Arabidopsis thaliana: one gene and its partner. The protein of the gene in region 1 interacts with the protein of each later gene in a biochemical or structural test. Each region holds a gene or a part of one and is shown on either strand. Other genes may lie near its edges.

Evidence for each region.
Region 2: the proteins of AT4G31570 (region 1) and AT3G01130 form a complex in vitro, tested with the Arabidopsis thaliana proteins (one study listed by BioGRID).

Annotation. Positions count from the first base shown.
Region 1 is NC_003075.7:15,294,690-15,298,444, reverse strand, and holds the start of AT4G31570 (nucleoporin), read right to left. Parts: upstream 1,995-3,755; 5' UTR 1,784-1,994; intron 1,492-1,783; exon of another isoform or gene 1,463-1,491; 5' UTR 1,385-1,462; coding exon 1,334-1,384; intron 1,115-1,333; coding exon 448-1,114; intron 311-447; coding exon 1-310. Other genes in the region: HCF153 (high chlorophyll fluorescence 153), read right to left, coding at 2,417-2,545, 2,942-3,226.
Region 2 is NC_003074.8:44,033-47,787, forward strand, and holds AT3G01130 (ATP synthase E chain), read right to left. Parts: upstream 1,778-3,755; 5' UTR 1,491-1,777; coding exon 1,443-1,490; intron 1,346-1,442; coding exon 1,202-1,345; 3' UTR 1,181-1,201; coding exon of another isoform or gene 1,145-1,180; 3' UTR 918-1,144; coding exon of another isoform or gene 879-917; 3' UTR 871-878; exon of another isoform or gene 730-870; coding exon of another isoform or gene 682-729; 3' UTR 13-681; downstream 1-12. Other genes in the region: MYB106 (myb domain protein 106), read right to left, coding at 2,587-3,008, 3,086-3,438, 3,527-3,656, 3,741-3,755.

The DNA of each region.
Region 1 (3,755 bases):
ACAGAGCTTTCCTCAGGTTCAGCTGAAAGCACGTGATCTCTGTTATTAGGAAAATCAATAGATGTTTCTGGTTTCTCTTCGTTAAGCTCTGCAGCTTCTCTAATCTGTTGGCTTCTAAAATTACCATTTATACCTTCTAGTTCAACTGTATCAAAGGCAACTGAGGATCCCTCTGAAAAGTGTGAAGGAGAAGCAGATGAATCCACAACAGCTGGATAGCTTGTTTGCCTTTCTTCAGTTGCAATCTTATCCACGCCTGCCTTTGCAGATAATTCAGAAAACTGCTCCATGTCTTCTTCCTGCATTTCCCCTACCCAGAAACAAATGAGAACTTAATTATACATCAAAAGGTCGCATGCAATAGACATAACCTCTTTACCCTTATCAGAGAAAAGGTAATAAAGAAAATGATTGAAGAGAGAAGCATGAAGAGAAGGAGAGAACAACCTACATCAGTTACCTGATCTCCCCTTGCACGAATCAAGGAAACATCAGGAATATATTCTTGGAGAGAGGATGGCTGATGCGGCTTTTCCACATTCCCAGAACCACCTTCAACTTCAACACCTTCCCCCTCCGCTATGTTTCCAGAAGCAGCAAAGATTCCATCAACATTAGATGCATCGTCATGTGTAACTCCCTTCTCAGAATCTGCAGGGTCAGATATCAAAGAATCCACTGTGCCAGCCACTCCACTGTTGATAGACTTCACATTCTCTTCTTCAGTGGATAAAGATTTACTGATATCATTTTCAGAATTAACTACTTCTTTTCTCGCTTCAGATCCATCATTAGAAGTGGTGTGTCCTGGCTGAAGCGCATCAGGCTCTGATGAGGAACCATGGACTGAAACATATTCGTGAGCTTTTGTATCTGAAGAAGTTTGTGGAGAATCGACAACCTCCTCAGCAACATTCACATGAGATGTAGCTCCTCCTACAGTCACAGGGGATGGAGCTTGTGCCTCGTCACTGACAGCACTAGTGTCAGGTTTACGCTCATGCTTCTCAGATTTATTAGATTTTTTGGAGGATTTGCCTTGGCTTGTACTGCCTTTGGAGTCCTTTTTCTGATCAGTGCCTTTGTCAGCCTTCTTTTGACGAAATTGTTGAAGCTGAAATGAGGATACGAAACTAAGCGATTAAAACATTTTCATCCAATGTTTCTCTATCTATATATATATAAATCTAGGCAGGACAAGTAATCAAGTAGAGACAAGTTGGGTAAAACTCTCTCTCTCTCTCTCTCTCTCTCTCTTCTCACTGACATTTGTGATAACTAAGCAACTTTACCCAAATTCCAAAGAGGTAGGTTTAAGGACAACGAAGCTAACCTTCTGGCGCCCAGCAGCAAGCGGATCAGCACGGTTCTTTTTCTTGTCCATTCGATTCACTGTGTTCTTGTTCCCACAATGACTCTTCGTGGATCACCACCAAGTTTAGATAACCATGGTTCGTGCCACCTGATTGACGCAGAATCCAATCACAACAAAGAAAACTGAGCTAAATTTCACAAAACTTATATGATACCGACACAAATATAGTGGCTTAGAATTATGAACAAGACAAATAAAAAGCTTGTGTGGCTTTAAATTTTGTAAAAAAACAGACCCAAATTGTGCAGCAGCTAAACGAAAATCAATCTCCAGATTCAATTGAAAAACAAACCCATCAGAAGCTAAATCCAAACTCGTTTCCAATAACCACAATTGGAGATCATCAAATTACACACAGGAACTCGATGAATAACACGCTAGAAATCACGAAACTGAGCTAAACCATACCCTCGATGCGTTGAAGAGAAAACTCCACAAAGGAGACTGAAATCGACTTTGCTCGTTAATCTCCTTCCCGTGGAGAATTTGCTTGAAACCACGTATACGTCGCTCTCTCCTTAGATCTAACGCAAATGGCCTTTAGCTGGTGTGTCTCGTTCGTTTGAACCAAAAAAAACTGCTAGATGAAAACGCGACGCGATTTAACCTCACACAGACGTCGATTTGAAGCGAAGAGAAGAATTCCTAAACACTACTACTTCAAAAGTAAAGAGACAACTCATACTGGGCCTTAAAAGCCCAATCTAAAACGGATTAGACGATTACACGAAACAGTATTTGGTCAATGGAAGCATACAAAAGATGTCCTTCTATTTCTTCCAAAATTACAAATTTACAGCAGAAGAAAGCTCGGCCACAATAAAATAATCTGCTCTCAACTTAAAATGGTAACTGTAATGAGGTTTTTGATTCATCATCCGTTTTTTCTTTACAAAATGATCAAACGGTAATGTAAAACCAGTAACTACAACTATAAACGGGACTAGGAAAGGCTACACGCTTAAATTTTCTTATACAAAACACAACATGTATTACAGTTACAACGTCTATTCCCATCATGAAGAAGCTGTGTGTGCGTTTTTAAACTTCACGTTTAGGCCGGTTACGTGTTCGTTGAAGCACAGGTTCTTGAATCACATCGTCCAGTGAGATATCACCTTCTCCATTCTCTCCCTTTTCTGCTGCTTTTATCGCTTGGTTCAACGCAATCTACAGAAGCAGAAAAATAATAGTACAAAGCAGTTAGTTTTACAGACCTTATAGATGATACAATAACACTGTTTCTATCCATTCCACCTCAAGGATATAAGAATGAGCTCCTTCCAGAAAGAGATAGATTCAATTCTATTAGATTGCAATGCGCTCTTAGAGGATGTGATTATCTCTTACTTTCTAACGATGCCGTTAATTCAACAACTTGAACCAATTCAACCCAAAATTCAAAAGTTAGTCATTTGCTTAATTGTTTCCCCCAAATAAAATTTGCTTAACCACGATTACCTAAACTAAGACTGAGACAAACTAGACCTAAAGCAAGGTAAAACACTAGAGAGCTAGACAAAAATCGAATCTGAATTAGATATGACGAAGATTGAAGGATCTTACATCCTCAAGGAAATCTTCGTCGAGTTTGTCAGCGATTTTGATTGAAGTGAAGACAGTGGCGGCGATAAGAGTAGCAGGAATGGCGAACGCGAGCAAGTAGCTGCTCGTACTAGGCCCTGCTCGCGTCACCACGGAACTGTCTCTGATTCTCCGTGTAAGACATAATCCCCCAGCTCCACCATCGGTGAAATTGTTCGCCGGCGGAGATAATAGTGGCTGAGAAGAAGACGCAGGGAAGCTTATTTGTGTGGGTTGCATAGGGATAGAGACGAAAAGTCTCGCCATGATTTTTATTTTGGAAACAAACGATTGGCAAAGGCAAGGCAACAAGGATAATCATTTGTGACCCGACCCGATTAATCTGAAATATATCCAATGGGCTGACTTGTACGAGGCCCATTAAACTATTAACCAAATTACGAAACCCATAGAGTGCTGCAATTAATTCTTGCATAATAGTATTACAACTTCACTTGGTTAATTAACCAATCAAACATTTTCAAAAATAAAGAACACAAAGTGGCTCCTTTGTGGAAACAAAAAAGAGGATGGAGATAACTAATTGGAACCTGCCATGATAGCGATATACTCGTCTTCAATTCGTTTATTTTATTGAAGATATGATAGCATATGGAGCATGTTTCATATATTTTACTGACCAGAATCAAATCTTAATCAAGTTGTCTAATTGATACGATTATTGATTCTGATATTCATTTAACAAGTTTTTCTTAATATAATCCCATCATTATTTAACACAAAGTCAACCAATATATAAACTTTATAATATTCTCTTTCGTGGGATAATGGTTTA
Region 2 (3,755 bases), on another chromosome or scaffold:
TTCAAGATGGGAATATAAATGATGATTTGATTATTCAAACTAGACATAGAACGCCATATAGAGAAACTCTTCTCAAAATCTCAAAGAAGATACTCATCTTGTAACCTTTAATTTTGGGTGCAAACATTTAGGTTTCTACAATAAGTTCAAATAACTTAATAAATTGTAGAGAATGAAAGAGAACAGAAAAAGGCATTTAAGAATGCCTCTATTACGTGAGAAAGAGAGACAGCGAATGTGTGAGTGTGACCAATGTTCGAAGCCACGACCTTGTATAGCTCGAACACAACTTGTTCTTGCCACCAAGCAGTGACCACATTGGTCGTCCTGAATAGCCAACTGCTTACTTTTAACTCTGCGCCACGGCGGATATTTATTTATTTTAATTGAAAACAAAAAAAATTCTTTTTTTTTTTTTTTTTTTTTTATAAATTATTTATCTGGTTAAGATGATAAAAATATGGTGTTTATTGAATAGCAGGAAAGTACCAAAGAAGAACTCAGGTTTAAACCAAAACGGGTATACGATTGCTTTGTCAGACAGAAGATTTTGATTAAAAAAACAGAAAGATGGAAAAAATGTCACCGAGGGAGATATAGCTTAAGGAGGAAAAGAACTACATTTAGAGATAACAATCACTTGGCTTCATAATCTTATTGAGAAGGAGAAGAAGAGTTGGTTTAGTGATGAGCCTTTGCTTCGGCCTTAATCTGCGAATTCTTCTTTATCTGCATATGAAGAAGAAGCATTTGTTGGTATCATCATAACTTATTAGCAAATCACATCATAGTAGAAAATTAGATTCCACAATCTGAATGAATAAGGATTGGGATGCTCTAAAGGAAGCAACATAGGCTCTACTTTCATACCGATTTTCTTAGGGTTTGGAAACCAGACACAACATCGCAAACTTATGCTTTACAAAGGCAAGAAATTACATTTCAGTGATCAAGTTGCAAATCATTGACAAACTCTTCTACTAAACATCAAGTCAAAACTATGATCATTCAGTGGAATAGGAGATCAGAACTCAGGCAGAAACATTGGGGTCAAAGAATCATGTTACTTGTGTATAGATGACCAAACCAAAAGGAGCAAAGTAGCATACTAATAGTCACGGCACACATGATTCGATCGAGAATATCATAATTCAAAAGCCATAAACATTCGAATTTGCTGCTATAATGGCAAGTGTCAGATTTAGGATGTCAAAATGAAACCCAATGAAAATAATTTCTCATCTGATAAAAACAAGACAAGGAAGATAGAGAGATGTACCTTTAAAGCCTTGAGCTTGATGTTGCCGTAGATGAGACCCAACCCGAAAGCCGAAGCACGAGCAACCTAAATCGATACCAAAAAGAAAAGACTCGATGAACTCTTCAAAATCCAAAATTCGACAAGTCAAGGCTACAGATCGAGAAATTGATCCGGGGTTTACCAGAGCAAGAGTGCTGGTACCGGAGTAAAGTCCTGGAGGTGGCGCCATTGATTAGCAGTTGAGATTAAACCCTAAAACCCCCAAATCGATCGAATCTTCCGAAATCTCAGATTCGCGATAATGAAAGACCAGAGCGACTCCTTTGTCTCCGTCTTCTCAGAAAAGCAAATTATTGGGCTTTATATGGGCCTTTATTCAATAGTACCAAACGTCAGGCCCATATCCTTCTTACTATTACGCCCAAATTTGCATGCACATTAAGTAAACGATTAAGGATTTACTATCAAATTCGATGGATGTAATGTAACCTTTTGTTAAAAATGTCTTAAGTTTAGTGGACTCGAATCTATTAGTAATATCTGTGTTTTATTACTATGGATCATACTGTATATAAATAAATTTATGATAAAGAAAAGGACATGAAACAACCAAGCATTGAATTTTCTTTCTTTTACTCGACATGTCAACGTGTTGTTGTTATAATTACAGCCTCTTCGTTCAGACATCTCTCATATAGAAAAATTTGAAAATTAGACAAAAATACTCCACAACCGGTGGATAAGTAATATGAATATCTATTTCCTTCAATTGCTTGCACTCAGCAACTTTAAAGAATTATGGAGTGGTTCCAATCCTATATTTTGAAACATCTTATCAATATAAGATTAAGGAAAGCTCAACTTCTATAACTCAATAGTTAAAGCGCCTAATTATTCCCAAAATTAGTAATTTAAATTCGAACAAAGCAATGATACTAAAAAGGATCTTTGTGCCGATAGGCTTTTCAAGAAAGCTCATTCCCAAAACAAAAACGTATTAGGATTTGAAGGAGGATCCCTTATTATGGTTTATGTATTTGGCCAAATGACAACGACGTTATCACTTAAAATATTTTTCTAACAAACTGTATACCAACAACATAAAAGCATAATATATAAATTGTAAATTGGATTTGCAGGTTTGCTACATGCAATTCTGCAAAAACGAATACTAAAATTAAGCTCATTTTCATCCCATATATATATATATATATATATATATAATAGTTTATAAAGAAAATAAAGATAAGTAAAAAGTATTGGAAAGCTATCGACATTTAAAAAACAATCTGAGAATTAAAAATGTTTGGTTGAAGACCCTTAGATCAGAACATCGTCGCGGAATCGGACGGTGAAGAATCAACCAAGTTGAGAATGCTATTCCAGTAATTCTTGTTATCCTCATAGTAGTTATACTCACTCTCATTCCCCACGCCCGCCGTCGCTTCGTTTTTCCCGGTGGGTAAACCCCGGCCGACCGAATCACCGATCAATAGACTCGTGAATCCTTCTCCTATTCCTCCACTACCACAGTTGATCTGCCTAATCCAGTCGTGTTCATGTTCTTTGACCAGACTCACATCGGAGGAGGTTGACGAAGATACGGCCAATTCAATCATCGCCGAGGACTCATTGTTGTTATTGTTTCTATTTCTGCTGCTATCCGTAGGGATTCCTAAAGGCATCAGAAGATTCTCAGAGAATGTCACCGTCGATGTCGGAGATTCAAGCTGTTGGTCTCCGTTTCCTGTCACAATTTTCCATTGATACGTTACCAAAACCAATCAAAGTTGAGAGTTTTTTTTAAGACGATGTGTCCCTTACCTTGGTTTGGTTTAGTCCAGTTTGTTGATGTTTTTTGAGTGAAGCAATGTTGTTGAGGAGCTGCTGATTTGTTAAGGTTGTTATTGTTTTGGTAATGCTGTAAATGGAGAAGCTTTGATTCTCTAGCTAGCCTTGCTTCAGCTTCGAGTCTTGCACTCTCCCATTGAGCCATATGACTAAGCGTGGCTGCGTTCTTTGATTGTCCTGTGGAAGACGAAAGAGTCTCGTTTTTGTGCTTGTGAGTCACTGGATCTATCCCCATTTTGATCAGACGTTTCTTCAAGTGTGTGTTCCAGTAGTTCTTGATCTCGTTGTCTGTCCTCTTTGGTAAATGAGTTGCAATCGCTGACCACCTATGACATTTAAAGGACGACGATCAATTTGCTTTCAAAGCAATCACTTGGTTATTTGGTTTGAAAGCAGAGATTGTGATTGAGTCACCTGTTTCCGAGGAGAGCGTGGAGTTGAATGATGGTTTGTTCTTCTTGTACAGTGAATTTGCCTCTCTTGATGTCAGGTCTTAGGTAGTTAGTCCATCTGAGTCTGCAACTCTTTCCACACCTTTGGAGACCTATAAGGAGTTTGAAGCAAAGCTTTGAATAGAGCTAGAAGAAAATGTGTGGTTTTGTTGAAGAGAAAAGAGCGAGCAAGTTACCGGCTTTCTCAGGCA